Linked DNA regions of Pelodiscus sinensis. The protein of the gene in region 1 purifies or fractionates together with the protein of each later gene. This does not show direct contact. Links are inferred from orthologs where the notes say so. Each region holds a gene or a part of one and is shown in the gene's direction. Other genes may lie near its edges. The genes, in order: VAPA, VPS13C, AKAP11 and TACC1.

Region 1 (8,177 bases):
AGACCTGCCAGCCTAGTCTATGACTAGTTAAATGCAAACGTGGACCACATTTGCAACAAACCAAACTTGGAAAATTACAGAAACCTTGGCACTGGCCCACAACATATTGACTGAATTTTAAATTAACAGCAAATATATTACCTGTAATGTTCCTTTTCTAGATATTATTAGCAAATTCTTAATACTGGCCAACAACTTCTGCACCTGATTAAAACCAGTCTTTCTCATGCTTATTTATTTTTACCATAGCACAATAGTGAGGTTTAACAGTTATTTCAGAAGAAGGGCGTTCTCCCGAAATAACTGCATCTACACCACTTTTTGTATTTCGAAATAGCGCCATAATGCAATTACACAAATGAAGAGCGGGATATTTAAATCCCGGCTCCATTTGCAATTTTGAATGTCTTCATTTGTATCCCTCTCTTGAAAGAGGGTGCAAGTGCTAAGGTGCCACAGGACTTTTCGTAGCTTTTGCAGATTCAGACTAACAAGGCTACCCCTCTGTTATTTACTTTGTCTTTTGCTTGCTATATAATACTGCTTTTATTTACTGTTAGAAATGTGAGGATTTGGATCAGTGGTGGGCAATAAGTGGTCTTTGAGCCAGACACAGTTAGCTCCTGGACAATTGCTGGATGCTTTATTTATCTGCATGTCCACAGGTATGTTCACTTGCAGCTTCCGTTGGCCGCCATTTACTGTTCTCGGCCAATGGACGCTATGAGTCACCATTTCCCGAAGGTCCCATTGGCCAAGAACAGTGAACCATGACCAACAGGAGCTGTGCGTGTCATACCTGTGGAGATGCAGGTAAATAAAATGGCCAGCAGCCTGCCAGAAGCTAACCCTGGCAAACCACATCCAGCCCACAGAGTGCTTATTGCCCACCCTTGGTTTGGATAGACTCTAGTGTAACAAATTGCTCATCTCTACTAAGGTGAAAAGAGCAGGAACCGAATTCCAGTTTTAGCTCTCTCATGCTAGCTGCCTCAGACTCAGCATTAGCCTCAAGTTGCTCTTCTGAATTTATGAAGGAGGTCGGAAGGTTGGTCCAAACCATCTATTTGAACTGCAAGCTTTGGTCTGGTCACCCTTAAGACTATGTCCACCCTGAACTTACTCCCTTAACATTTTCTGACAAAGCAACTACAAGCTGCCCCCGATTTGCGATGCGACTGGTTCCAGAGATAGTGTCGCAAGTCAAGGGCATCATAACTCAAGTCCGCAATTACAACAGGCATCGTACGCTGTCGTAAATGCGGGGCCGAGGACATAAGTTAGGGGATTTCAGCCTCTTTCACACTTACAGAAAAGGTCGGAAGTATGGGGGGGGGTCATAAATCAGGCCGTCGCAAAGCGGGGGCCTCCTGCACCAGTAATTTTAACCCTTGTATCTAACACTGTTCAGAGCTTGACATGATGGTTAAAATAATACTAACCACCATTGCTACAATAGTAGTGGAGCTGAGCCAGTAGTAACAAAGTGAGACATTTTAAGAAAAAAGTGAGGAAAGACAAAGTCTTAGACTTCCAATTGCCAACTGAGTTATCTTGATACTGGTCTGCTTGTCTTCTTATTACTTTAATTGATACAATGCATGGATCTTTCTTTACCTATTTAACATGTTCTTCTTGGAACACTCTGCAGAGAGCCAAGTATCATAAATCTTGTGTAACACTCATGCAGTTGACAGCCCTATAGCATAGTCCCATACTTTAGCACTCACTCCTCAGTCATAAGAGCCCAGAACAAAAACCTGCATCTGCGGAGCCTAGAACAGTTGCTATTCCCTCATTGCCACTGAGAATTCATGCATAGGTATATAGCCTATTATGGATTATAGGCACAGCAGAATGTCTTGCTCAGGCGATCCAGAGTGACAGTACTCTGGGGTCCTACGATTAGCCAAACACTCATTTAATCCCAGGGGTTGACCCAGGAAGTTGATTCTGTAACCACAGACTGTGACCAGCCTTTTCTCCTGCTTTGTTGCTCCAGCCTACCCAGTCTCCAACTCCAACCTGACTCTCACTCCTGCCTCTAGACCTCTGGGTCTCTGATAATGGCCTGATCCTTGTTTATGGGACCCAGCCCTTGCGATTCCTCCAACTCCTGCTGGGTGATTGCTACCAGTGTTCCCTGTAAGCTGAGCACAAGGACAGATTCAGATGCTACCCAGTGGACGAGCACCACCAATGCTCTTATCTCTAATAGCCTTTCTGCTCCATGTAAACATCCCTGCGATCCGCAGCTGCCACTGATGACCCAGAATTCATCCTACAACTAGCAATCAGCAAATACTCACTACACAAGAAAGTCCACTACTCATAAATAGCCTGGTACCTCTAACTAGTCCAGCACCCACTCACTCACCCATACCCCATCATCACCCCAAAATCCCCACCCAGTTGCCAGCTGCTCTTAGACTTGTGTCAGCATACACCCATTTACCAGTGTTTATTCAGTTCCATGTTGTATCCCTGCAACTACCAGGATGTTTAGATCAGAAACTCAAATTTATGACTATAGGCAAATTACCCTATTCAATAATTTGCCTGATGCAGCCCTCATGGCTCTGTGAAAAAATTTGCAGTAATGTCTATCCTGCCCACAGTTTTATGAGATACTACTGACATTATTTCACCATTTAAATCCAAACTAAAAATGAAGGGCTTAATTGTGCCAATGGTAGTTTTCAGCTTAGAAGACTGATGCCAATGGAAGAGCCTGTGGCAGTTGAAATTTTACAGCTATTCCCAACTTGTGGTCCTTAAAAAGTTAGGCCTTTAAAATTCTGCAAATAGAGACAAATCTGACTAATTGGGAGGCTCTTTCAAGAAGACAGTGATATGACAAAAATTCTGAGCTGACTAAGAGGGGCTAGTTTTCTCTTTGGAACGGCTTACAGTGGAGCTAGTGAATATAAAGAAGAATAAAAGGGAAATCAATGTGAACAAGAGAAAAATAATACACCATGACAGAGATGATAGTTGTATTTACCAGTCTTTGTGTAACTAGAACTGAGGGAGAAAGACATATCCTGGATGTAGGGAAAAAGTGGAAAACTCCCACTAGACATGAATCAGGAGGCAACTTGATATATACAGTATTACTACAGGCAGTCCCCGAGTTATGCGGATCCGACTTATGTCGGATTCGCAGTTACGAACGGGGATTTTCTCGCCCCGGAGGACTGGAGCGGCGGGACGCCTGGTCCCGCCGCCCGCCTCCTCCGGGGCGAGAAAAGCTGCTCCCCGTCTCCCTGGTCTGCTGCGGGAGCCAGCAGACCAGGGAGACGGGGAGCAAAGCAGCGCAGGACCCGGGGCCGGACCCGTGGCGCTTCCAGATCAGTTCCGGATGCCAGTTCCGACTTACATACAGATTCAACTTAAGAACAAACCTACAGTCCCTATCTTGTACGTAACCCGGGGACTGCCTGTATAAATAAAGAAAAGGAAACAATTTAGAATCTTGTTTTTGGAGCAATATAAAATTAGTACTGGACAGCACACAGCACCAGAATAGTTTTGCTAGGACCATCTGGATCATTCTTGTGCTCACGTCATACAGAAGCTCCACCATCAGACTTACCAACATAAACTATATAGTCACAACCAAACAAGAGTATTTTGCGATTTTGCTCATCAGCACTTAGAACTAGTGATAGGACACAATTCTACTCTCATGGAAGTCAATGTCAAAACTTGCATTGATTTTAATGGAATTAGGTTAAGCCCTGCCTCCTCCTCCCTTCCCTTCCCCCTCGCCTGCTAAACCACAGTACCCAGAAGGGGGGGAATGCTGTCAGTTTTCCATTTGGAATTGTCACCCTATTTCTTTGTGGGAAATTGACTTTTGGGGTGAGATATCCAACCCTTAGGGCAAAAATTGTAAATTATTAATTGATGGATATTTATTATTAGTAGTAAATATTGTTTGAAATATGACTGTGCTGTTCCTGTTAATGCTCCTATGATATTTTCACTAGATTTCAAGCAAGATATTTGTTACAATTTTGCTGGACCTATCATTTTCATTGCTGCCCTTCCACTCATTTAGTTAGACATTTTCTGCCAGTGTACCTAGGGATGGAGAGGGGAGAGGGGAGAAGGGGAGGGGGAAAAGAGCAATCGACTCCACGTGTAACATGTACAGTATAGTCCTCATCTCCTTTGGGAAGATTTGAATGGATTACAGTTCACATTATTTTAATAACTTTTAGATTAGGTCATATTTTCTTCTATACTGTTTGTAAATAATGTAATCCTTTGTCTTGTTACCTACGAAGAGTATTATTTTTAAAGAACAAGTAGAAATGCAAACCTTAGAAAGGAGAGCGGGGAAGGCAACAGAGAGAATGAAAGGGAAAATACATTTTCTTTGTAGAAATTTATTTCACGTTTAAAGTCAGGAAAAGGGAGTGAATTTCCCAGCTTTCTACCTACAAATAAATTGTGGCTTGTTTTTCTCATTTTCAATCATGGATATTGGACACTCTTTGGTATGAATGGGGCTAATCTTCTTACAACCCAACACTGAAACAGTCCAGTTTTTGCCCCCCTGAGCACAACCTGGTCTACATTGGGCCACTGAAAAGGCAGAGAGGTCCAGAGTGCACGTGTCTATAGCAAAGTGAGGTTATTTTTCTATCTACAAACCTTTTCCTAAAGCAAACGCTTAACCTGCTCCATCCAGCTCTACCTTCAGCAGAGGGCGGATCTCACCTCTCTTCCTCTCAGACATCAATCGCATTAAGGAGAAGCCAATGGCAACCACCCCACCCTTGTGCCGCGCACTGATATAGCCCTTGAAGACTACTATTCCCAGCATGCAATGCTTCCAACACCATCAGAGTGTTGCATGCTGGGGATTATAGTCCTGAAGCGGAACTTTGGCCACGTCGAACACCGCTTCCTCCATCGCCATTCGGTGCGCATGCGCCCTTCTTTCATTTCCCTCGAACCGCTCTCGCGATCTGAGTCGTCTAGATTACGCGCCCCCTGCTGCCTCAGCCGAGGCAGTGTGTGACTGACTGATAAGTGGCTCGCGAGGCCAAGTCGAGCGAGCTGTCAACGGACGGCGGCGGGAGCGAGGGAGAAAGAAGAGGACGCCGCGCGCATGCGTCACTTGGGTTCCGCCACTGCCGTCGTAGCCCTCGTGCCCGGGGGGGAGGTTGGCGTTTGATCGCAGTGCGCGCGCGGCCGCCGTGTGTGTGTGGGGGGGTGAATCAATTCTTACAGAAAAAAAGGGGGGGGAACTAGAGGAGCACGCGTGCGCGCGCCCGCGGAGGGGGAAACGAGGCGGCGGCCGCTCGGTCCGGACCCCAGCCCATTGCTGCTCCCCCTCCCCGGCGTGAGCGAGCGAGCGGCGCCTCTGCCCGGCCCCTCCCCCCGCGGCAGGCAGCGAGCGAACGAGCGAGATGGCGGCCGCTGGGACTCTGGCGAAGCAGGAGCAGATCCTGGTGCTCGATCCGCCCACCGACCTCAAATTCAAAGGTACGGGCCGCGCGGGCCGGGCTGCCTCGTGCCGAGGGGCTGCGGGGTGGCGCGGGCAGGCTGGGTCGCCCCCCGCGTGGGCCCCGGCTTCTCCGAGGGACGCGGCGGCGGCGGCAGGGCCCGAACCGGTCTCCCTGCGCGGTGGGGAACCAGAGCCGGTGACCGGGACACGGCGCCGCCGCCGCCGCCATCTTGAGCTCCCGCAGGGAATCGTGTGTCTCGGGCATGGCCAGCGCCGCCGCCTCGGGCCCGGTTCCGGCTCCAGGCCGCTGGGTTGCGGGGAGAAGCGGCAGGTGCCGCAGCAGCCGATACTGCCGGGCCGGGAGCCGGGACCCTCCGCTCTCATGCCGGGAACGTCTGAGCCGCAGGCCCTTAAACCTTCCCACATCGCCCGGCCTCCATCGGCCGGGACTGCGCTGGCATCGCTGCCCTGGCCAGAGCTCTCCCTCCCCCCGACACCTCTGTGGCGTGTGCGCCCCCCCCACCCCCGGAGCAGGGAAGAGCGGTCCGGGGGATGGAGCGTGTGTGGGGAGAGATCGGTCCCCAGGTGCTCTGCAATCTGTGCCCTGGCCGTAGCTGCGCTCTGCTTGCGGCTGGGCTGAGGCCAGCTGTTAACAATGGTTAGTAGCGGGGAGGGAGTGGTGCTATTTTGCACCATCCGCTGGTATCGCTAGAGGATCTGCTATGGCACGCTCCTTTCCCAGATGGAGTTTGACCCTTTTGGGAGGCAGATGATACGACGCTGGCGTATTTCAGATCACTTTTAGGTGAAACCTTCGGATTGTGTCGGTAGGCAGTTCATTAACTTTTTGGTAATGTGTCAGCTATTTGTATGGCTCCAGCTATGCAGTCTTATTCTGTTTGGCTTAAAACCGTTCCCTTAAAATAGCTGATTAAATACACTGTTCCTGATAAACCCTAACTTTAATAGCGAGGGGTATTCTGAGTAGATAGACGCACATTCAGTTGTTAGGAAGACAGGCTCCTTAGAAGATGAAGACCAAAACCAAACAAAAACAAGTTGTGCTGAAGGGGGTGGGTATTCATAATTATGTGGTAAGTTTCAGTGCTTACAGATTGACAAAGGGCATTAAGTGGAACATTTATTAGGTAAAGCATTTACTGGGAAACAAAATTGTTACGGTTAATGTTGAGAAATTATAAATAAGACTATTTGCATAAATACAAATGCCTTAGCTGTTCAAATAGTATTGGCAGTTCTTATACTTTTTAGCTAATCCTTTACTCTGTTTGTATTTAACTTTTTACTTTTAACTGTGTTAATTTTCAGGTTCATTTTCTATTTATAGTATTTTGGGTCCCGAGACAGTCTTGTGTTTCTTGAGAGATTTTGAAAGTTTAATTGTAGAACCCTTTAATGGGCAAGTAGAAAAAGCTAATGTGATCTTGTACCTTACAGAAGGTAACTGTGTTCCTAACTTTAGATAGCCCATGCTTTTTCAACAAGGTTTAAACCTTATCAGAGAAGACAGATTTATACCAAACTGATTTTCATTTCAGAGCTTTGAATTATTCTCTACCCGTTTAGTCAATTAAAATAAACCCTCAGGAATTACTTTAGTTTTTTTGGTAGTTACACTCAAAATTGTAGATTTTTTTGATTATACATTGTTAAAACATTATTAGTTTAAGTTTCTCTCAGAGTAGCAGGCCCCAAAATTGTACGTGGTCTTGGAGAATGACTGCACTGTATTTATATTTCACATCTCACAAGAAGAGTAGAATGAGCATAGATGCATGTCACACCAAAGCTAATATTTATAATTGCATGTGTATTGACCTAGTCCTAAAATGTCTCTTTTAGCCCAAAACACATAACATTTACAGGGTATAAACAGAGTTGTTGAGATTGCAGTCCAATGATGATTCTTACTCAAAGTGTATAGGAAGGATATGAGTAAGCAAACAAATAGGCTCAGTATGCACCTTTGGAATGGGAGCTGTAAGAATTAAGTGTAAACTTAAAATTTATTTAGACAAGTATAGATGTTGGGAAGGCTTTTCTGGAAGGGGATATTTAAAGAGTATGAAGCAAAGTAGGGCCTTTCAGTGTCTGTATAGAAGGACCAAACTTAGTGCATTTCAGATACAGTGGATCTGTTAGCTCATTCTACATGCCATCCCACTATGTACACTTTTATATTAATTGCCCATTGTTCTGACCATCAACAAAACACTTTCTCCAATGAAATAACTTAGAAAGTTGGTGGAGGGAGACTAAGTGATATATTTTCCTTTATACCAATTAAGCAATCTGATGATAATGTACCTTCAAATAGGTTCTGTTTGAAATCTAATATGGCAAAATTATATTGTGTTGATAAAAGAATAGAGTGTTACTATGGTTGCCACTGATTTGCTGAAGTTTTTTTGATGGGTGAATGGAAAGTTGTTGATTCATATAGCATTGCTAACGTCAAATACGTGTGCACACCAGACACCCAGATTAGGATTTTTAGAGTCCTGAATAAAAACAGTTTTTGTTTTGCCCCCAAAGGATTTATTTTCTAACATTTGTATAATTATAATAATTTTTAAAAATAAATTGAGAAAACTGAGGCACAGAGTTGAAGTGATTTCCTGAATGGTCCACAGGCAATGCTGAGAGTACAACCCAGGTCTCTTGCCTTCTAGTTAGAGGTCTTATCCAGTGAACC
Region 2 (7,743 bases), on another chromosome or scaffold:
TTCACCTTTTCACTTTAGGATGGGTGATGCGTGGGACACATGGAATCTTGCCACCCTTTGTTGGACTAATTAGAAGGACTTAGGTTCATCAGGTAATTAATTTTCTTCACTAATCAAGAATGGAGGCTGTAATTGTGCCATATCTTAATTCTTTTATTTAAAGGCTTTTAACTGTCTCTATAGTAAATTTTAGCCCTTGACAAATAAGTGATCCTTCAAGGAAAAAAAAGCACTGCCAGAGCCTGAACGAAACTCACACGCCTGAACCTGCCCTGAAAGTGTCCATGCAGCAGCTTTTCTTATTCAATCAATTGTTGGCCACAAAACACAGTTTTATCAGTCCCTCTCATTTCTAATCTAGAAAACTTCACCCGAGGAACTCTGGTCACATAAGCATTCATGTCCACCATGCAAGTGATTACAAGTGAACATTTTGTGATGAGAGGTAGAGTCTGGACTTAGGCTAACAGATGTAGATGACCATACGTTTCATTGTCTGCTCAAATTAATGCTCATATTCTCGTTCTCTGATGACTGTTTCATTCATTATGGAAACAACGCTTAATACAGTCATCTCTGAAACTATCTTTTTAGAATTTCTCTGTTAATTGTTTCCTTCATATCAGTACCCTTAACAGTAATTATTAATTCTTCACCAGCTTCTGAAGTTTTTCTTTCTGTTTTCACAGGCTATGGTTATCTCGGTACTATCACAATCGCTGTTCCCAAATATTAATTTCTAGTTGACTTCATTATGTTAATTTATACCAGAGCACCTGTGCTTTTTCCGATAGGGGTTTCTTGCACAAGAAACCCCTGTTGTCCGTCCACACACGCCTTTTTGCGCAAGAGCTCTTGCACAAAAAGGCTTATTTCTTGTAGAAAAAGGAATAGCTCTTGCGCAAAAAGCCCCACCTTCTGATGATCTACTGTACTTTTTCTTGCGCAAAAATGCGCTTGTGGTGCGGACGCTCTGCGAGTTTTGTGTTTGTGCAAAAACTCTGCAGTGTAGACGTAGCCTTAGATGCTACACAAACATATAAGATCTGGTACAGAAGAAGTGGGTTAGACTGTAGACTTCATGTATTCCTGTCACACAGCAGAATTCAGTATCTGCTTAGTCTAGTAGCAGTAAAAGGAATTTATATAGGTGAAGATGAAATATGGTTATCATTTGTTTTTAAGTATTTGTAAATTAACCAATGAAAATAAAAAGGCAGATGTTTATTTGTCCTGTGCAGAATTTATGAGGGTAAGAGAAAGAGGCATGATGTTTTCCCCATTACCTGTTATATGAAGTAATCGTGGCAGCTCATTTCCCTAGATAAACATTTAGGATAATTGCATATTCTTTCCCAGTGTAGCTTGCTGTGAAACTCAGTCCACTATTACTTTTTTGTGGTTTTCTGATGTTGGCAGCCTGAGGCAGAGAGAGTGGGGCTCCCACTGTCAGCCAGCTGAGGCTGCACAAGGCAGCAAGAGCCCCCATGGTCAAAATAATCTCGGGTGAACTGCGTCTGGGCCACTTATTACCCACCCCGAGATAGAGAATGACACCCCACTACAGCTGTTAGTTATTCCATAGCTCAAGAGTCATTAGTTTGTGTGACAGATCAAAAGCTTCTGGCCGTGTTGATAAATCAGATGGTGTCAATATAAATCCATGTGATGAACTTTGTTTTTTGAGGTTTGCTTTTTAAATCTAGCAAATTACCCACAAAAAACTCCACCTCGAGCAGCTTTGTAATGCTCACATTTATTCATAACTCTCACCTCCAGAAGGCTCATCTCTACCTTAAGTTTACAAGTAAATCAACTAATAATGATATACAAAGATGTAACTGAGATGTATATTTTGTAAAAAAAAAAAAATCAAATGTAAGTAATACATCCAATCTGCAATCTGACCATTTGCCTAGTGCATTGTATCTTTCTCCCACCCTTTATCTTTTCTCTTATTTTTAAAACCGTTAGTGAGTTGGGGCAGGGCTGGTTTTCTTCTGTATGCCTCAACACACATATTACTTTAACTCCCTGCAAGCGATAGCTAAGGGATAAGAGAGTAATGGGTTTTTGGAGTATCTAACGTGCAGCTCATGGCTGGCCTGCTATATGAACAAGGAGCAGATACACCACCTGCACTCATAAAATCTGCCACTTTGTGTCCCTGTAATATTCAGTTAAAATGGGTGTAGATTTCATGATAGAAGGTGAATTCTCATTATTTCCACAAACACTTTTTCAGTGCTTCTAGATCACTGGTTCTCAAAGTGTGGTCCGTGGCAGGAGTTCACTTCCCCTTTCTTCTCCCATGCAGTGGGGAGCCCTCGCTGCTGCTGCAGCCTTGTGGTTGGTGTGCAGCCATAAGGCTGCACCACCAGCTCTGGCCAGCAGGCAGGGAGGTGAAGAAAACAAACCTCCACCCCCGGCACAGGCCATGGAGCTACATATGGAGGAGTGCCACCACAATGGGAAGACCCTACTTCCAGCCTGCTTCTGCTCCCAATCCCTATCCTACTCACTCTCAACCCTGTCCCACACACAGAACCCCTCATTTTTGTCCCCACCCCAGATTCTAAGGGGGTCCATAAAATCCACTAATTCCAGAACCCCAGAAAAGTAAATCTGGCCAATGGGAAGCCCAGAACCTCAGTCCTCCCTCTCCCTTCTCTTACCCTCGCCCCATGGGGCCGGAATGCCAGAGGACTGAGGTATCTCAGTCAGGGACCACATCCATGAGGGCTGGGGATTTTTGTTTTTTGTTTTGCTTCTCACTTGTGTGAGAAGTCCCCAACTTACTTTTCTGTGGGCCAGTGGCCCCAGACACAAAAAAGTTCCCCACACCTACCATAAGTAAAGAGGTCGGATTGCTGCCTGCGAGCTCCGGGGCGAGAAAGCCCCGTTCGTAAGCTGGTCCCGGTGCCCCTGGTCTGCTGGAGACCGTCTCCAGCAGACCAGGGGCACCGGGGCTGAAGCCGCAGCAGCGGCGGGTTCCCGCGCTTCTGAGGCTTTGCCAGAGCAAAGCCTCAGAGGCGCGGCACCCCGCTGCCGCTGTGGCTCTGCTCCCCGTGTCCCTGGTCTGCTGGAGTGGGGGTGCAGCTAGTGTGCCCCCCCCCCAGCAGACCAGGCTTTTGTTGTGGACCCTGGGGCAGAGCAGCTGGGGCGCTGCCGATTGGTCCTGCAGCGCCGCTCTGGGCACTACTGGACCAACCTGGCAGCACCCCAGCTGCTCTGCCCCAGGTCCTGATTCAGCCGCTGCTGGTCAGTTTCAGCAGTGGCTGAATCAGGACGCCTGGGGCAGAGCAGCTGGGTTGGTCCAGTAGCGCCAAGGAGCGAGGAGCGGTGCTACTGGAGCAACCCAGCAGCACCCCAGCTGCTCTGCCCCAGGCGTCCCCAAGTCAGCCGCTGCTGAAACTGACCAGCGCTGACTACAGGAAGCCCGAGGCAGAGTTGCTCTGCCCCAGGCTTCCTGGAATCAGCCGCTGATCAGTTTCAGCAGCAGCTGACTTGGGGACGCTTGGGGTTCTTAAGTTGAATCTGTATGTAAGTCAGAACTGGCGGTCAGTTTCAGCAGCGGCTGAATCTGGATGCCAGTTCCGACTTACATACAGATTCAACTTAAGAACAAACCTACAGTCCCTATCTTGTACGTAACCCGGGGACTGCCTGTAGTGACCATGTGTCCATTTTAAGGAATGTTGCTTATTTGGTGCCTAATCTGGGCTCACCAGTTAATCATTTGGTTACAGGCAAGAACCATGCAGGCATGATATGTAACCATATATGAAGATCTGTGAGATGGTTTGTCTGAAATACTTTTGTCCTTTTTTTCCCTTAAAATAGACAATCAAATGTGTTAGATATAGTAGGCATTAGAGGGGACAGCAAGTAAGGTGCCCATCCTTTGTCCCCGCAGAAGGGACTTTGTTTACAGAGTCTGACTCTTGGTTTGACAATGCCACTAAGCCTCACCAGCATTAAGCTGCTGGAACTAACACAGGCTGCCTTAAAACATGTACACTAGGGATGTAATAGTGTAACCGACGAACTGGTTAACCGATAGGTAAAACACTTATAGGTTAATGCTATAGACGACTCCCATTTCTCCCTCCCTCTCCCTGACCAAGAAATTTGTTAGCAGGCTGGACAGCAGCCTGGCTCAGTCCTGGCTTGTACCAGGTCCGGGCCCTGCTCCTGCTGTGGCTCTTCATGTCAAGTGTATTCACAGCCAGATGGGCAGCAGCCGGCTCGGTCCCGCCTTGCGCTGGACCCAGGGACTCAGCCCTGCCTCAGACAAGGGCTTCTGCCCCCCCCCCCCCCCCCCCCCGCTGCTGCCTCTGCACCAGGGGGTGACAAGCAGCCGGATCACGAGGGGGGCTGGTTTTTAAACTGGATCCCCTTGCACAGCGGCTCCAGGCAGAGGCTCCTCGGAGCAGGGTGGGAGCGCGCTGGCTGCCAGCTGCCCAGGGTGGGCGGGGCTACACCCTGCCCTCCGGCGCGTGGAGGGGGAGGGGCCTTGCCGTGCTCCCCCGCGCGGCGGGACCAACCAGGCAGGCGCGACGCGGTGAGTGACAGGGCCGCCGGTTCCGCGGCGCCGTCGCGCTGCGGGGGCTGGGGCGAGGACCCGCCCCCTCCGGCGCCAGGCACGTGACATCAAGGCGCTGCCGGGCGCGCGCCTGGCGTTGGCAGGCTCCCCGCGCCCGCCGCCATGGTGCTGGAGTCGGTGGTGGCGGACCTGCTCAACCGCTTCCTCGGCGACTACGTGGAGAACCTCGACAAGTCTCAGCTCAAGCTGGGCATCTGGGGGGGTAAGCGCGGGGCGGCGCCCGCGAGCCCCCCGCCCCCCCCGCGGGCGTGGCCTGCCGTTAGCCCCCGGCCGTTAGCCCCCCGCGCCGGCCGTTAGCCCCCCGCGCCGGCCGTTAGCCCCCTGCCGTTAGCCCCCCGCGCCGGCCGTTAGCCCCCTGCCGTTAGCCCCCCGCGCCGGCCGTTAGCCCCCCTCCCCCTTGGCAGCACGGGCTGGGCCTGTGGCCGCGCTGCCTGCTCCAGCGTTGGACAGCGCCCGAGGCGGGCTCTGCCCTGTCGCCTGGCTCGTGGCAGGGGGCAGCCAGCGACTGCCTGGGCGCCTCGGGGTAGCGAGCGCCTGGCTCGGGCTTTGCCAGGGGCAGGACTGATAGAGACGGGCGGGACTTGGGGTGTCTGGTTCTGCCTGCCCCTCGGGTGGGGGCTCGGTGCGGGGTCCAGAATGACCCCCCCCCCGCTGCGAGAGGGACTTGATATCGCAAGTCAGTCACAAGCGGCCAGATACCGGAAGCCTCCCAAAAAGCAGCTTCTGGCTTTGGTGGCTTTTCCCAGTGGGTTGTTTGATCTGTGGGGCTGGGCTGCAGCAAGGCGCTCAGTGAGATCAGCTCTAAGGGGAGCATTAGCAGAGCTGTGCATGTGTGGAAATGGCCTGGGAGATGGCGGAAGTCTCCGTTGCTGGCTGGTGCAGTTGAAGAATTTGGTGGTTAGAAGAACTGAACACAAACGTTACTGTAATAACGCCTGAAATGACTTACCGCAGTGTCTGGAGTGGCTTATGACAGTGCAGACTTTGGTAGATGAATGATATGTTCCCTCATTAGAGTTCACCAATGTAATACAATCTAAGTACTACTGTAGTGTTATACAATAATGGAGTTACAGAGGAAGACACTCCTGTCTGTTTTACTGCCCAGGTCAATTACACTAGAAATCACAAAAATTTCAAGTGACCCTGCCTCCCCCCACCAAAAGAGCACTCCCTTGTCCAGGCTGACTTGCATCCTAGGTCTCTCTCAGTATTGTGTAGCCAATATTCTAGGAATTTCCTAAATTAATTTAGGAAATACAGGCTGAACCTCTGTAATCTGGATTTCCCTAGTCTGGCAACAACCCTGGTCTGGCATCTTTGGTGACCCAGGGGGACTCCAATGCTGGAGAAGTCAATTGGTGGGTTAGGGCCAGGAGCGTTGCTGGACTAGGAAAGAGTGGCTCCCAGGAGCCAGTAGTGGGGGACTGGCACCCTGGGATACTGGAGGGGCTAGCATTGATTTTTGTCTGGTCTGGCAAATTCCCTGGCTCAGGGCTGGTCAGGTCCTGAGAGTCCAGGACAAGGGAGATTTAACCTCTAGTACATAATACTTGTTACCTGTGTCACACTACAGATGCATTGGAAGTGGTAAGAACTAAATCTCACATGCAAACACAATAGCTCTTATATTTTATTAAATTAAATCTTAAATGTTACATAAGTTTCATATTTTCAGTTGCAGACAGCTGAGTCAGCTGATGGCTGTCCTTAAACTTTTTTAAATATTCAAATTTTATTATTTTTAGCAGACAAATCAGCAAAACACTAAATGTACGTTGCCCTCAAAAGGTATACAACTAGCTCTCATCTTATACGACTAGTTCTCATCTTCCTTCCACCTACTGCCAAATGGACTGAAACATTTAAATTTCCTTGCTTTTTCAACTCCCAGTTGATTTCTTAGCTGTGAGTGAATAATATCATACAATGAAAATATTCTCTCTCTGCCTGCAGAGTAGGGATGTCAACGTGTATACTACACAATTAACTGATAAGTTTGGGCTTATCAGTTAAGCTTGTGGATTACTTGCAGTCCCCCCTTAAAGCTCCCCTCAAGCACTGGATCTGACTTCTCCCTGCCCCCTGCACTGCTCTGATAGAGAGGCAGCAGCACAGAGGGTGAGGAGAGCAGGCGGGAGCTGATACGTGCAGGAATCCAGCTTTCAAGTATGTTCTGTGGACCCACCTGCCCTCCCCTTGCTGCCTCCTGCAGAGGCAGTGGGTAGGGAGAGACAGGCAAGAGCTGGTACTGTGGGGAGCTGGCTTAAAAGTCAGTTCCCCCCAAGACCAGCTCTGCAATGCCTCCTGCCTCGGAGTGCTGATGCCTTGATCAGAGGTAGCAATGTGGGTGGGGGTGGAGGAGAGGCTGCCACAATGCAGCCTCTGTCCTCAACAGCTCGGGCTTGCATTGCAAGCAAGCACCCCTTGTCCATGGGGTGGTGGTGTCTGAGTTCCCTTTGGGCAAAGGCTGCTCTGTGGCAGCAGAGCTTGGACCGCCTCCCCCATCACCACTGACGGGCTGCTGCTATCCGTACTGCTGCCTCTGCATGGAGTGGCAATGGGCTCCTCAGGAGTGGGGCTGAGAGCACACTGGCTGCTGCCTCTGCTGACTATTGAATAGTTGTGTAACTGCTAAAATTCCTGCAGTTAAGTACTATCTAACCTCCCCACTGAAGAGGAAATTATTGATGTGAAAAGTTGGTTTAGCAACTGAAGGAAGGTGCCTGGCTAATGACTTCCACCAATTCAGGGGAGTGACTTTGTTCACAACATCGTCGGTAAACATATACTGATTAAATGATTTCACTCCAGCACTGAAATTTTATTATGACCCTCATAATTGAGAAGTGATTTTTGAGATGTACATGCCATGGCAACATTACCATTTTCAAAAGTTAGGCATCTACCTTTCTATCTGGGGTTAACAATGTTTGCAAGAAAATGAGGCAAAATTAGTGTTTGATCCATTCACTTCTTTATTGCCTTGCATCAATGTCTCTTGAAATGCCTTGTAAATTTCGACGGTATCAGCAATGCAGTAGTAGTTTCTTTGAAGTTTGTTTAAGGCTATGAATAATAGGTTTCAGTATACTGAACTTAAGGATATTAAATATCAGTTAATGAATAGTCAGGTA
Region 3 (7,681 bases), on another chromosome or scaffold:
TGGGTTTAACCTAAGGGGGTCCTTTTAAGTCTGTTACCCGGTGTGCTGGTCATGTCACTGAGCCCCCACCTACCTGCCCCTGTGGGACACAGCACCATCCTGTCCTGCTGGGCCAGAAGCTCTGGTGTCCCCTAGTCAAGGCAGAGTAGGGATAACAGCCCTCAAAAAGATGCTGAACCAGCTCAGCTATATGACCATTGACAGCACCTACAAACAGCCCCAAAGAGTAACAAAACCCCAATAAATCCATATTACGCTGTATAAAAGTTTTACACGGTGAAAGCTCACAAAGGTCAGTCCCCTTTATCAATGAAAAAGAAATATGCAGAATCGTTGCTCCCCCCTCCAGCTAACAATTATTTACATTTGGCTTGATTATAAACAAAAGTATTTTTTATTAAGTGTAAAAAGTAGGATTTAAGTGATTGCAAGTGAAAACAGACAGATCAAAGTACTAAGACAAAATAAAAAGAACCCACCAGCTAATTCTAATACACTAAGAAACTTGTTATATGCAAATTCTGACCTTAACAGCTATTCTAATGATCTTCCACAAACTCGACAGCCTTCTTGAACCTCTCCGCTGTTCAGTATTAGATTTTCCAGCAGGCAACTTGCATAGTAAGTGGGGACAGGTGGTCTCCTGGTGTCTGGCCACTCCCCCTGTTGCTTTGATGTCTCACTTTAATAACCTCATTGCCCAAGGTGGGAATTTTGTGATCTCTTCAAACTTTTCTCACCTCAAGTGGCAAAGTACAAGATTCCAAATGGTTTCCAGCATCAGGTGGTCTGGCCACATGTCCTTATAGGACCAGCCACAGTTTGGGCTTACAACAAAACCAAAACCATTCACAGGTTGTTAACTTATGCACAAAACCATTATGTCTCTGGAATATTACTAATGGCCCTCGTTAGGCCATCTAGAATTTTAAACAGATCCACAATTTATATATTTCTAACTAGCCATACAAGAATGATACATGACACAGAATTAGAATATAAACATTCAGCGAATTGTAACTTTAAAAATGTCAGAATGCATTTTGCCAAAAGCATCTTTAGGTTATGGATATTCATAAGCCAATTTGCATAAAGTATGGGGGGGCACGACAGTCACTCTTTTAGGGTACCTTGGTATAAGGGAAGACACATGACTGAGTAGTTGGTTCTTTCCTGGATAGCAGAACCACAAGGTATCATCTTTGTTGCTGAAAGCAACTGAGAAGTTGTCTCTTCTTTCTGTCAACCCAAGCTCTGTGGGTATGTTTGGGTGGCCCCAGCCACACGGATGTAGCTGTTTCTGTAGGTCTTCACTTGCCAGGCTGGCTTTGTCTCAGGAATGTGGATTAAGCCAACCTTTGGGGATCTTGGGGGGAGTCCTTCATTTCGGTGTATTCTCAGAGAATCCCTGCTCAGAGCGCTTAAACAAACAATTCTACTTCCTGTCATTTCTTCCTACTAGTGCTTGTGTTGTGTTCTGGGGGAGAGTTCCTGCTCATAGGCTGCTTACATGATAGGGGAGTCTCTGTAAACTCTGCATTAAATCAGTATGTCCATAAAATGAAAAATAAATCCAATTGGAACACTATTTTTAATACACATAAAAAAGAAAATAGAGCAAGAGTCCTTGCACTATATACAAATCTATTATATATTTTGAAGTGTTTGTTTGTTTGTAGATTTGTTTGTGCAAAATAAAGTCATACTTCATGTCAAGGCTGTTTCCCACTCTGGCACTCCAAATGCAGAAGGTGGGGTCCCGCAAGAGAGCTTCAAAAACCTTGCTTCTACAGGCACTGGTTACAAAACTTTCCCCCAGAATCCTAACACACAGATTTTGGGGAATTTGCTGCCATCATCAAGTGCTTTTTGAGCCTTAAAAAACAGTGGTGAACACCTGAAACTACTCCCAGGGGTATCCCAAAAGTTCTTTTGCCCCAAAAGAGCTTGAAAAAGAAGAGAGAAGAATAAGCTGTAGTCTCTGGTAGCTGACTCCTCAGTCAGAGACATGCAGAAACACACAGACAGACCTTCCAGGACACAAGAATAAAATAATCACCTTAAAAGAAGTGATTTTTATTACAAAATAAAAGATAAACGTGACAAACCACACTTGGTTGCTAGATGTTATAGAGCAACTGTGGAAACTGAATTAAAACAGAGAGAAAAAAAACTCTGGCACAATGCTTAGATGGTAGTAAATGGGGAAGGGAGGCACAGATTCACACAGAACCGTTCAAACCAAACCACACGATAAAGAAAAATTACCCTGAACACGACTGGACTCACATTTCCCTGGTACTCACTTCTAATTTGCTCTTTGTTCAGTCCGCTCCTATGCCCTGAATTTGGGGGGGGGGGGGAGGGAGCAGAACACAAACACACACAAAAAAGCAGGCCAGGGGTCCTAGATCCAATTCAAATTTCAACTCTATCCCCAATAGCTCTCTTGGCCCCCTGGCTGACACCTTCCCTAGGTTCCTGAGTTAACACCTTAGTCACCGGGTGCTGGTCAGCACTCCTGTTCATGTCACTTTGTGATTACCTACAGATACCAAATTTTGCATAAACAGTCCTGCCATTTAAATGAGCTGAATGCACTACTTTTTACACAGGAATATGCTGGGTGAAAGTTTTAAATAATTATTTTCGGTTTTCATTGGAAAAAGGTCATGACTTTTATTATTTGAGTTCATAAAAATATTTGCTAACAAAATTAAAATCAAGTTGCCCATTTTACTGTCATTTTAGTTCACTGAAAATGTTTACTGTAACAAATCACAAAGTAATCCAAATTAGTTATGGAAAGAGTAATGGAAGCAGGCCTCACCTGGTAGTATTGTATAACAGTGCATGAGAACCTGAAAGTGATATTGACTGTAATCTATAATAGGGTCAATATGTCATTAGGCTTGGAGTAAGTACAGTAATTCCTCATTTAACACTATAGATATGTTTCAGAAAATGATCATGTTAAGTGAAAACATGTTATGCAGGATCAATTTTCCCATTGAAAATAATGGAAAAGGTGGGAATTGCGTTTCAAGCGGTGGTGTCTGTTGGGACCGGGACATAAGATTGGGGGAGAAAGGGAACTGGGTTACAGCAGGGAGGGGAGGTGTTTGGCTCTGGGGAAGGGAAGAGGAGGAGAGGAGAGGGGGATTGGGTTGGAAGTATGCCCCTGTGATGGGTCCGTTGGGACCCGCACTGCATCCAGCGAGGGGGGGGGGGCACCGGGGAACAGCACAGCGAGCGGCAAACTCTCCGCCGCTTTGCAGGGAGGCTGGGGAAGCCCCGCGCAACCACCAGCAATGAGCCGGCTGGGGAAATCTTCTTATTCTGGGGACGGTCATGTAATTCAAAAAACGTTCCAAAAAAAATCGTGCTATCGTGAAAACGTATTACACGGGCACGTGTTAAATGAGGAATTACTGTACAGCACTGACTTTAAACATTGTCAGAGAGAAATAAAGAGACGAGTTCTCAGGGCCTGACTTTGGGAACATGGATTGAGACTGTGCAGTCATTGCCTCAGTTTGAGCATCCCTGGAAATATACCTCCCAATCTTCTGTTTCCTATTGTCATTGTAGGAGGGGCAAGATACAACTTTCACTGACATCATTAAGCCTCTTTCTATTGAGTCAGGGCAGGCCCTAGTAGAATATGGAAAAGACGTTGGGCTTTTTACATTTCGTGCTTACCAATCAGGATACCTCAATTCAGGGGCAGGAGCAGCTGAACGCAGAAATCAAAAGCCTGGCTAGGGCTAAAGGGAGCGTTTGTGTGCGAGACATTTAGACTCTGCTGATTGGCACACAACAGGTTCGCTCTTCTGAATGCTCCGTTGTTTGTGAAGCCTCTCGGGGTCTCGGCGTTCCCTGTGTACAGGCTCGGCGGGCTTTGATGGGACTTGTTTTTGCCGCCGCCTTCCCATTAATTTAATTGGGAGCAAGAGCTAGTGACCAACTTCTACCTGCCTGCAAAGTGGGGCTGAGACAGCTAACCCGCCTGGGGGGCGGGGGGAGGGAGTTAACTCTTGCCAGGGGCACTTTGGCCCCCGAGCCAGATGCACCAGACCCGGCTGCAGCCTGCCCGGCTCCAACGAAAGAAGCTCCTGGAGCCATCAGGAACCAGCAGCGGAGCAGCCGCCTAGCACTAGCGCGCCCCTTCTCTGCCCAGGCTGCAGGGCGTGGCTGCCCAACCCGCGCGTGGGGGGGCCCGTCTGCACAGCGGCGCCTTGAACCGGCCGCGGCTCCCAGGAGCGCCTGACTTGAGCGGCGCGCGCACACGCGCGTAACTCCCTCCCGGGGCCGCGTTCGCTAGCTCCACATCGGCTCGCTCGCCCAATAGGAACCGAGGCCGTCCGTCACGTGACCCGGCCGCCCTCCTAGTTGCGCACGGGGGCTGTGCGCGAGATTGCAGCCCGTCGGCCCCGCCGGCGAGCCTCGCGAGGGTTGGGTGGGCATCGCGCGAGCGCGGCGGAGGCAGGGCGCTGCGGCGGCTGGAGCGGGAGCGGCCGGGCGCTGAGGGGGTGTGACATGGCTGCGGGCGCAGGACGCTGCGGACCCAGGTACGCCCCTCCCCCTCCGGCCCGGGCGGCGCAGGCTCTTGGGGGGGGGAACGACCGGGGGGCGCCCCCAGTTCCCTGCGGGACGGGAGCCGGGGCCGCTTCGCATCCCCTTCGCCTCACGAGGAGCATCGTTCCCGCTTCCCCGCCTGGAGCGCTCCGCAGCCGCCTCCCCCCTTCCGCTCGGGGGACACGCTCCCTCGCGCTGGCCCTGGTGCGTGGCCGGGACCCAGTCCGGCTACTGGCCCGTGCGAGGCTGCTGGGCGTCTGCAGCCCCCCCCCCCCCCCCCCCCCCGCCGCCCCGGTCCAGCGGGCTCAGCACTGCGGTCTCTTCCCGGTGGGGAGCTGAAACCCATTTATTTGGTGGTCGGGGGGGCTCTGCTGGCCCGCTGGGCTGGTGCCGTGGGTGGAGCGCTGCTCCCAGGGACCGGTTAATTGTTGCCCAATAAGCATCACATCATTAAGGGTGATGCTTACCGTGTAACCAATTGCCCGTTCGCCTCCCTGCTTCCAACCCCCCCAAATTTGGCTGCAGTTCTCTTTTATTGTGGGCTGATCCCTCTTAGTGCTAGTGGCTGCTTCATGGCTTCACCCTAACTTTCCCAAGCAGCCAATTTCACTTCTGCCTAAAGGATCCAACACTAGGCTCCTGACTGGAGTTCTTGAGTATTCTTGTAATAAAATGGGAGCATCATAAAAATGACAATAGTCTTCTTAATTTCACTATGCTGCTTCTTGGGAAAGATACCAGTGGTGGTAGAGGCAATGGAGCTGTCCATCTCAGACTCAGGAGGACAGCACTGTGTCTCTTCACATTTGAAAGGTTCTTTCATAACTTTAAGGATAGCCCTTAGATATGCTAATAGACATAATACAAATGGAAATAGAAGCTTGTTTTTGAGATCCTAAATGATAGGCAAATTGGTGGATTTGGACCCATTTCTCAGGTCAGCATCTCAAGGCAGTATGAATGAATTGGCAAGTGGATTTTTCATGTCTTGCTTTTAGGCCTTATGCTGCTAACTATTCATGCTGTATCAGCTTTGTACATCTCTCCTGAAATTTCACTGCCCTAAATTAAATTTAGAAGACCATTCACTTGATGAAAAAACTAGTGATGTTACTTACTCTTATTGTGGATGGACAGCAAAGAAAATAGAATGTTTCTTCCCAATTTGATTTACTTGTGATGGCACAATCCTTTTATCTTCTGAATTCTATGCATCCCTGGCAAATAACTTTTAATCTTGAGCATAATTTTTGTGGCCTTATTGTTGCAGCTACCCTGTCATATTCTGCTGTATAATTTTCCTTAATTTAATGAAGACAAATTAAGCTAGTGGACCATTTCTTTGCCACTGAATAATGTTTTCAGAAATATTTTATTTGATAATCTGAAGTTCCATATCCAGAAGCTATCCTACTCCCAACATTTTGGATGGTAATTCTGAAGTTTTGACAGATTAATCAACAAAAGTCTGTTGGTTTAAGAAAACATTTGCCTTTCCTTAAAATTGCTTAAAAATGTGTGTATTAGGGTAGGAAAATATTTATTTTTGCTTACCTTTATTGATTCATTTCAGAAAAACTGCAAAATAATAAGTATTTTTTGGGGTTCTTTTGCTGATACTCCATAAGAACTTGATAGCCATACTTGGTCACATCAGTGGATCTTGCCTGGTATCCTGTCTTTTGACAGCGGCCAGTACCAGATGCTTCAGAGGGAATGAACAGATCAGGGCAATAACCAAGTGAGCCATCCCCTGTTATCCTGTTCCATCTTGTGGTACTCAGAGGTTTAGGGACACCCAGAGCATGGGGTTCCATCTCTGACCATCGTGGCTAATAGTTATTGATGGTCTTTCAGAAACTTAACTAGCACTTAGCTAGCCCTATCTTTCAGGAATTTAACTAGCTCCTTTTCTAAAGCAGCTATATTTGTGGCCTTCTCAGCAGCCCATGGTCATGAGTTACATAGGTTGATAGTCCATTGTGAGAGGAAGTACAATGTATACTTTGTTCATTAGCCTGTTTGTTTATAAGCCAACTCTCCTCTCCCTCCCCCCGCCCGCATTCCCACAATGGATAGTTTAAAAATGGCAAAACCCTATGGACTCTTTCATAAGCCAATCTTATATTGCAGAGGGTGGCTTTGGCTCCCAATCTGTCAGGGATGACTTGCTGGTGCACTGGGGCATTTTGTTTACATGGAGCATCTGTAGGCAAGAAGCCTTGCAGCTCCAAGTGGCTGTGATTTATCTTATGGGAAGTGGTGTAGGTGAAGGGATGTGCTGACTGCCATTTCCAGCTACTACCATTGGAAGTGGCAATGCTCAGTGTCTGTGGATGCTCCAGGTAAACAAAATGCCCCAGTGCACCAGCAAGTTATCCCTGACGGGCCGGGAGTCAAAGTTTGCTGACTCAGAATCTGCAATGACAACAGTGACCTATTGATAAGCCAACCTCTGCTCTTTGATGATTCACATTTTTACCAGAAAAATTCAGCTTATGGACAAGAATATATAGTACTTGTTTTAAATCTGATGCCTGTTAATTCCTTTGGGTGACCCCTCATTCTTGGGTTATGAGAAGAGGTAATAACATTTCCCTATTTTTTCCCACACTATTTATGGTTTTATCAACCTGTATTATAATTGCATTAGTCATTTGTTTTCTAAATTGAATAGTCCTATTCTTTTTAATCTTTCCTCATATGAAAGCTGATCCATTACCCATATCATTTGTGTTACCCTTCTGAGTACCCTTTTCAAATCTCATGTGCCTTTTTTTGAGAAGGGGTTAAGTGCCCGCAGTTATCAAGGTTGATTTGTATAGTGGCATCGTGATATTTTGTCTTATTGTCTGTTCCCTTTCTAATGGTTCCTAGCATTGTAAGCTTTGTAAAATACAACTAAAGAAGCTTTATGGATAAAGAATACTGGACTATTTTTATGACCGTTATGCTGTCATCTATGTTGCTGATACACTACCAGGAAATAAACAAAAATAGCCATGTTAATTGTTACTGTGTTGTTAACATGGGAAAAAGATGACTTGGTGTTTACAATGGTGAAAGATTATTTTTAAAAGTCTAAGAAGACAGAAGAAGAGTA
Region 4 (7,713 bases), on another chromosome or scaffold:
ACACAGCTACATTTCTATCAGCGTTTTGCAAGGGAGTGATAAAGACTGTGCTTACTTGCATGCTTTTAATAAGCAATCTTCCTATGACAAAGGCACCCATTTTAAAACGCAACAGAGCTCTGGTGTAAATACAGCAGCATGGCACAAAATCCGGCCTGTTTGTTCTGTGAAATCACTAGCACCCTGGAGAGTAAAAACACCATCACACGTCTTTTTAAACGCAACGTCCTGAATGAATTGTGCCCCTTGACTGATGTGTAAAATACCCAGTTCTGTAGAGCCCTGCAGATCTGCAGATATCTACTTAATCTACATGGTATCCGCATTGGCAGGTGTGAATGCAGATATTCACGACTCATTTTTGTGGATGCGGATACAATTTTTTTAGCTAGAACCCTGCAAATTTGCAGCTCCCCATGGGTGCAGATACCCACGGATCATTTTTGTGGTGGCAGATGTGGATGCAGATTTTGTACCCGTGCTAGGGATGTGCATGGTTAATCAGTTTACGGGTAAGCCTTACCCTTAATGGGTGAGGCATTCTGGTTCCAGTTAACCAACGGGGGCTGAAGCTGTGGACCAGGGCTGCTCTGGCCTCCCGGTGGGAGCAGGCTTGATTTTGCGTTTGCAACATTCAGCGCTGGATTTGCTCTTCCAGCAGCCCGGGAGCCTTGCCCGGAGCTTAGCCCACAGCCCAGCCTACAGCTGATGGTCATGGCCAGGATCGGGAAGGAATCAGATTGGCAGAGACCTGGGTGAGTTTCACCTTCCGCTGCAACATGGAGCACGAGGCACTTGCTGTTCAAGCCTGTGAAACAGGCGGATTCTCTGTCACCCGCGTCTTTAAATACAGCTTTGAGGGTTTCAGTGACTCAGCCAGAGGTTCAGGGCCTGTCACGGGGCGGGGAGAGAGTGTGTGTGTATAGGGGGGTTCTGTGGCCTGCAACGTGCGAGGTCAGGCTGGATGATCCCAAATGGTCCCTTCTGACCTTCCAGTCTGAGTTTTTGAGCAGCCGCGGGAGAGATGCGACCTCGTTCCCAGGGCTTCTCTTGTGCAGGGAAACGTTGGGCTGCATCTCACGGTTCTGCCACCAGGCGGTGCTGCCTGCGCGGCGCCTTGTTCCAGCTCACTCCCGGGTCAGAGGGAAGAGCTGGGCGCATCGGAGCGGGTCCAGAGGCCAGCCACAGAAGTGCAAGGTCTAGAAGCCAGGAGCCAGGCCGAAGGGCTGAGAGAGCCGAGCGTGTTTGGTGTAGAAAGGAGAACCCCGGGGGGAGGGGGTGAAAGGCTTCAAATATGTGAGCAAATTACCACGGGGATAGCGGCCGGTTGCCGGCCACGGCCACGGAGGGCAGGACAAGAGGTAATTGGCTGGATCTCAGGACAATCGTTGACGGGGCCGAGGGAGGTTGGGGAATCCCGCTCCGAGGAAGGTTTTAAGAAACGGTTGGACAGACGCTTGTGAGGGATGGTCTGGGCTCACTCGGTCCTAGCTCAGCGCCGGCCGATGGAGATGCCTACCAGCCCTGTGAGTCGATGAAAATGAAGAAACTTTTCCTGTTAGAAAAGCCTGAGCAAGGTACAAATGAGGGATGGTTGCCGAGCCTTTCGGTGCATGTGAGGCTCGTGCGCTGCCGGCTTCCTCCCCGAAAGCAGCTGGACCGGACGGTCTGTACAGATGCTGCGAAACCCGGGATGTTAAATCCCGTGTAATTACTTAACCGGATAAACGTGCGTCTGCGCCGCCTGGGGCGCTGGGTGTCCACAGCTCCCCCGCCGGTCTCAGGCGCGTTCCAGTTTGATTTCACCGCCCCCGCCGCTGCCTGCTCCTTCCTCTCCTGTGGCTGACGGGAGGCTCCTTTCTTGGCAGCACTGACTGTGCCGCCCTCACAATAGAAGGATGCTGTTCATTTCCTCCTCCGATTGGCTCACGTGTCTCTGATCCCCGTCCAACAAGTGGAGGGTTATACAAACGTGCTGAGCCAGATACTTCCCCTTTGCGGCGGACTTGGGTTCCTCCTGCCGACCGCCCGGCCATCTTGCACTGTTCAGCGTTCGCGGCGGCGTCTTTCCGCAGAGCCACTGGCCGAAAAGCCAGGTTGCCGTGTGCTGGTTTTAATGCAGCCCTGCGATCGCACGAGCGAGGCCCCTGCACAGACAGTGACTGGGGAAGCCTTGGATGGGGAGGGGAGAGGGGGAGTGTTCAGCTTCTAGCCTGCGGCACAAGAGGGCCCTTAATGCCATGTCACAGCTCTCCAGATCTGCTTCTGTAAAGATCTTCCCCCAAATCAGGTTGTGCTCTGCAGCCCATACGCTGCAGGGGAAAAGCGTGGGCTCCTAGTCCCTCTCCAGCCCTCCAGCAGGGAGGAGGGCTTGGTTATTAAAGCAACTGCTGGGAGTCAGGGTGCTTGGGTGTGCTCTTTGACTCTGCCACCGATTTCCTGTGTGACCTTGGACGAGTCACTTAACACCTCGGTGCCTCGTGGGGTGGCTGCATTCACGGTGGTGTGCAGACCACGTGTGGCTAGTGCGAGTGTAAATAGTGGTGTGGATGGCAAGACACCGCCTAGGCCAGGCCGCCTGCATCTACCCAGCAGTTTTTAGCACTGCGTGTCTTGCTCCCTCGGCTTTCGCTGCAGCTCGTAGCTGCTCGGGGGTGCCCGTACCCCGCGCAGACGTCGCTTCCGTTTCCTCACCCCTGAATAGCAGCTAGTTCCACTGTCCTGCATCGCGGGCGCTCCCGCCAGAGGCAGTGTGTCCTGCATCGCGGGCGCTCCCGCCAGAGGCAGTGTGGCCCTGCGGGCAGGGCACGAGGCTGGGAGCCAGGAGACCTGGTTCTGGTTCTGGCTCTGCGTGACTTCAACGAGCTTCCCTCTGGTCCCCAGTGAATGGAGCCGGGCTCCCAGGGAAGTGTCGGAGGCAGGGGGTTGGGCCAGTTGCTGACTGGGTGCTGTGGGGTGCAGCGGGGGGTGGGGGGGAGGTGGCCCCGTGCATGCTTGTGGCATGGCTGTCAGACCCTCGGGCTGTTCTTCCCCTGGGCGCGGCTCAGCCCCAGAAACAGCCAGTGGCCCACACTGCAAAGGCCCCTTGACACCCCTGTAAGGGGGCGTCCCTGGCACGCGTGGGCTGCAGCACCCCCTTCTCTTTGGCATGGCGGGGAGCTGCAGGGGCCGTGCTGCCCTGGGGTGGTTAAAATGCCCCTTCTCGAGAATGCTCAGCTGCGTGGATTCCAAGGCACCCAGAGAGCACCATGCCACGGAGCCTGCCCGTCAGTCGAGGGGGTCCTGTCTGTCCCTGGGTGCCCCCCAGGTCTCCGAAAAAGTGCTGGAGCAGGACATGCAGACTCGGCAGCTGAGCCAGGCCCAGAGGGGTGGGAAACCTTGTGTCCTGCAGAAGGGGCGTGGGGCTCGTGGCTGGGACAGTGGCCTCCTGAAAGCCAGGGGGCTGTTTGTCCTGTTTGTCCAGCTCTTTGCGTGGCCCCCGCTGTATCACGGAGGGTCTTTCTATGGGATGTCGGAAAGCAGCTGGTTAGGTAACTGTAGCTGGTAAAAATCGTAGCGGTTACAGGCTGGGGGTTCTGCGGTACCAAGCTTGTACCTCAGAGCCCGCGGCACAGCCGGCTCCCCGGGAGCAGGGCCGGCAGCCAGCGCGCACTGGGAGCCGGCTCCCGCTGCCAGCCCCGCCCCCAGGGAGCCGACTGCCCTGCTGCACAAGCTTGGTACTGCAGAGCCCCCAGGCGTGAGGCAGCAGCTGGCTCCTTGGGAGCTGATGTGCCCCAGGAGCTGTCTCCTGGCCCCACTTCTGGCTCTCAGCTCTGCCCTCAGGGAGCCTGCAGCGCGGGGTGGCAGCCAGCTCCCCGGGAGCCAGCGGGTAACTGATGCATTGAGACGGTTGCAGTTGCAGCCCTAGTCCAGGCGCTGCCTGAGTCCCGGCCGAGCTGCCCGGTGCGTTTCCGTCGAGTTAGGCTGCAGCGGGCGAGAGTTGAACCCCCACCCGGGAGGCCACCCCTCTGCCTTGTGCCCATTGCCGCGTGGGCGCGCTGCTCCCCGGCCGGACCGGGCATGTCTCCCCCCCGTGCCAGGCCAGGGGGACCGGGCCCCTGCGCGCACCTGGGAGGTGTTCGGAGGCAGCCCCCGCTTGTGGGCGGCAGGACCCTGCTCTGCAGGGCTGCAGTGGCCCCCAGCGGGCAGCGCCCCGGGAACGGCTCCAGCAGCACACGGGGCAGAGAGGCCGAGGATCTGATGCCTAAGGGAAGCCGGTGGGAAAGTCCAGCCCAACTGCAGCCTGAAAAAACCCAAGGGCATCTCCACGGGGTGCAGCCCCCCCCCCCCCCCCCCCGCACAGAGATAAACAGGGAGCCGGCCGGAGGGCTGGAGAAAGCCAGTGATTACTCACTCCCAGAGCCGAGACTGTTGCTAAGGCGGCTGGGGGGGGAGTTCCTTTGAATGCTCCTCTCCCCTTCTCTCCGCCCGGGCTTGGTAACTTCGCCCCCCCGCCGCCTGCCCGCCCCCCCGCACGTCGGTCCCGGCCAGCCCCCCTGCCGCAGGGGAAGCGCTGCCGGCGTGCCGAGGCTGGAGGCGCGGAGACGGGCGCCCTCCCCGCCGGCGAGAGTAGTACAGTCCGAGGGGGAGGCTGCGGGGGAATGTACAGTATGTTTCTGGCAGCCAGCTGATGCGGGGAGTCCGGGGCTGGCATGCAGCGGCGAGGGGCGAGGTGGCGGAGCCGGGGCTGCTGAGGGCTGTGCCGCGCCGGGGCCATCTGGGACGCATTGCTGCTTTTCCTGTCTCGGCGACAGGGCGGGCAGCAGCTGGGGGAGTCGCCGCAGCCCGGCAGGCAGCCTGCCCCGGAGGAAGCTGCCGAGGGCGAGGAGCCGATGCTTCGCACTTAACCACATCCGTGCCTGGGCTCGAAATAGTCCCAGGCGTCGGTCACCGCTCCCCTCCATTTTGAAAAGCCTCCCCGGGCCGCCGGAGCCGGGGAAGCTGCCCTCATGGCGTTCAGCCCCTGGCAGATCCTCTCCCCGGTCCAGTGGGCCCGGTGGACATGGTCCGCGGTGCGGGGAGGGGCAGCTGATGGCGGTGAGGACGAGCGAGAGATGGAGGAGGATGACTCACAGGCAGAGACCAAATCCCTGAGTTTCAGGCAAGTACTCGGCATCCCTGCTCTGCAGGGACCTGGCGTTTGCATGGGCCTCTCCGGGCCTGGCGGGTTTGCACGTGGAACGGCCCTCCTCGCACGGCGCAGCCTCCCGGGGCACAACCCCCCGCCGGCTCCGCATTTGTGTTGCTTGCCAGCCTCCCCCTCCAGCGCGCGCTGACTGTTCTGTGCGTGGAATCCCCAGCATTTGCATCCGCCTCGGCCAGCTCTGCCCTGCCCTCCGGCTCCCCGCGCCCCGTGGGGGGCGTTCGCCAGGTGAACCCCCGGGGCCGGCGCCCCTTCTCGAGAATGCTCAGCTGTGTGGATTCCAAGGCACCTGGGCAGCCAGGAAGCTGTGCCCGGGCTTTGGGGCAGGCTCCGGGGCACGGTGCTCTCTGGTCTCGCACTGGGGAGAACGCGCAGGTCAAGCCTTGTTTGCTGAACTTCCCAGCACCCAGGGCAGGTGCCGCAGCAGAGGAAGGAGCTGCCCAGGGCTGCCACGTCCCCTGGGTCAGTGACCCCTGCTGAGGGCCGGCGCGACAGGTACCCAAGGATCAAGGTGCTGGGTGACTGATCTCTGCCGGATGGGCACCCGGGGCGGGGAGGGGCTCCAGGGAAGTTTCCAGGAGAATTCACTGTGGCCTGGTTTCACGTTTGCCGTGTCAGGAAGGACTCGGCCGTGGCTGCCAGCTGGGTTGATTTGCGGGTCGGCCTGGGAGCCGGGGCCCAGGCTGGTGGCAGTTTGGGGCACGCCGCTGAGCTTGCCTGGAGAGTGGTAATTCTTCATTCTTTCCCTCGTTGGCAGCTCGGATTCGGAAGGCAATTTTGAGACCCCTGAAGCCGACACGCCCCTCCGGTCACCTGTCAAGGAGCCTTGCGACCCCGCGCTGGGACGGGACGCGGCCGAGGCCGGGATCCAAGGTAAAGAGAGGCCCCGCGTGTCTGGTCTCATACTCGGCTCCGGATGCTGGAAATGGGGTGGGCCGGGGAAGGGAGGCTGTTTGCTTGGGCAGTGCCTGGCCTGCATGGTTTAAATGCAGATGCTCCGGGTTATGCACCTGCTGCCAGGGGCCATTTTCAGCTTCGTGCAGGGTTGATTTATTGAAGAGCTTTCAGGGGCCCTGACATGTGACGGAGTCGGCTCGATTCCCCGGCTCCCGCCCCAGCTGTTGTGCAATAGTTGGTCCCCCCCACTAGCCGCAGGGCAGAGATAGCGAGCAGGCAGGAATGTGACAGCGCTGCCGAGATGTCTGGAGATCTGGTGTTTGGCTCAGGCCAGCGGAGGGCAGAGCCTGCAGCCAGAGGCGGCTCGGCCTGATGGAAAGGAGCAAAGGAGAGTTTCAGATTTTTTGCATTTTCCAGGTGCCCTCCCTAACGTCTTCCTGAAAACCTGCCTGGGCTAGGCACTGACGTGTCTGCCTGGCTCCCGGGGTCACTGCTCTGGCGGCTGATTGGCGGGTGCTGTAGGGCTCACAGGCCGCTTCGTCCCGCGGCCCCTCTCGCTGCCGGCTGCAGCTGAGCTGTTGCCCGGCCAAGGGGAGGTTGGCACTTGCGGTGGCACGGTGCAGAGATGACAGGGGTGCTGTTTGGACATTTGGGAGAGACTGAGTCATGGGTGAAGGGATTGGAGTGCCTCATGGGCGTTTGGCCAGAGAACAGAACCACAGCTGGGCAGCCTGACCGTCTGGGCACGCTGAGCCCGGCTCCAGGCTGCCAGGTGCAGATGGAGGAAGAATTCTTCCCAGGAAGATCGGGTGCCTGCTGCTAAAAACTGCCGCCTGAGCCGGAGGTCCGCGCCCGAGCGAGCTGTCTCCTGGTGGTGTCGCGGCCCGAGGGTGGGTGCCGTGTTCCCGGGCTGCACTGCGGGACTTGCCGCTGGGGCTGCAAATCTGGGAAGCTAACCGCTTGCCCTGCCGTGGTCATGCCCCAGCTCTCTGAGGGTGTGTCGACACTACAGAGTTAGTTGGAACTAGGAGGGTAATGTAGGCATACCGCACTTGCAAAGGAAGCCCGGGATTTGAATTTCCCGGGCTTCATTTGCATAAGCGGGGAGCCGCCATTTTTAAATCCCTGCTCGTTCGAACCCCGTGCAGCGCGGCTACACGCGGCACGAACTAGGTAGTTCGGACTAGGCTTCCTATCCGAACTACCGTTACTCCTCGTGGAATATTGTAGGGGCGAAGCAATCTGTGTTAGGAGGCTCTATCCATCGCCCTGTCCCCGAAACGATGGCTGTGAGTGCTGTGCTCACACGGCTACTGGACCGTTTAATGCGTCCATTAAACCCGCCTCAGAACAACGTGTCTCGGGTCCCCGGGAGGCTGGGAGCAGGGGGCATGGGACAGACGCCCAGGAGCTGCCCGGCGCTCCATGGAGTAATCAGGAGTCAGTGGGGTGGCGGGTACGGTAGGCGCGGGGAGGCTTTGCCTTCCCAAACCGCCAGACTGGCTACGCCCCCAGAAAGTACCATGCTCCAGGGCAGGGAGGCTGGGGCCGTGTGCTGGGCGGGGGTAAGGGGGACTTGGCTCTCATAGGGCGGGGCCTGGGTAGAAGGGGCGGGGCCTGGGTAGAAGGGGCGG

What was found.
Region 2: the proteins of VAPA (region 1) and VPS13C purify together in Homo sapiens (co-immunoprecipitation; 3 studies listed by BioGRID and IntAct, counting the BioPlex papers as one, with this or other methods). This does not show direct contact. The link is inferred for Pelodiscus sinensis from reciprocal best matches to the Homo sapiens genes VAPA and VPS13C.
Region 3: the proteins of VAPA (region 1) and AKAP11 purify together in Homo sapiens (co-immunoprecipitation; 3 studies listed by BioGRID and IntAct, counting the BioPlex papers as one, with this or other methods). This does not show direct contact. The link is inferred for Pelodiscus sinensis from reciprocal best matches to the Homo sapiens genes VAPA and AKAP11.
Region 4: the proteins of VAPA (region 1) and TACC1 purify together in Homo sapiens (co-immunoprecipitation; 4 studies listed by BioGRID and IntAct, counting the BioPlex papers as one, with this or other methods). This does not show direct contact. The link is inferred for Pelodiscus sinensis from reciprocal best matches to the Homo sapiens genes VAPA and TACC1.

What each region holds. Positions count from the first base shown.
Region 1 is NC_134712.1:85,505,112-85,513,288, forward strand, and holds the start of VAPA (vesicle-associated membrane protein-associated protein A), read left to right. Parts: upstream 1-4,985; 5' UTR 4,986-5,423; coding exon 5,424-5,499; intron 5,500-8,177. UniProt on the Homo sapiens protein: Endoplasmic reticulum (ER)-anchored protein that mediates the formation of contact sites between the ER and endosomes via interaction with FFAT motif-containing proteins such as STARD3 or WDR44.
Region 2 is NC_134724.1:41,479,872-41,487,614, forward strand, and holds the start of VPS13C (intermembrane lipid transfer protein VPS13C), read left to right. Parts: upstream 1-4,606; 5' UTR 4,607-4,708; coding exon 4,709-4,808; intron 4,809-7,743. UniProt on the Homo sapiens protein: Mediates the transfer of lipids between membranes at organelle contact sites. Necessary for proper mitochondrial function and maintenance of mitochondrial transmembrane potential.
Region 3 is NC_134711.1:284,842,414-284,850,094, forward strand, and holds the start of AKAP11 (A-kinase anchor protein 11), read left to right. Parts: upstream 1-4,380; 5' UTR 4,381-4,571; intron 4,572-7,131; exon of another isoform or gene 7,132-7,681. UniProt on the Homo sapiens protein: Binds to type II regulatory subunits of protein kinase A and anchors/targets them.
Region 4 is NC_134738.1:15,724,460-15,732,172, forward strand, and holds the start of TACC1 (transforming acidic coiled-coil-containing protein 1), read left to right. Parts: upstream 1-4,513; 5' UTR 4,514-4,988; coding exon 4,989-5,140; intron 5,141-5,939; coding exon 5,940-6,055; intron 6,056-7,713. UniProt on the Homo sapiens protein: Involved in transcription regulation induced by nuclear receptors, including in T3 thyroid hormone and all-trans retinoic acid pathways. Might promote the nuclear localization of the receptors.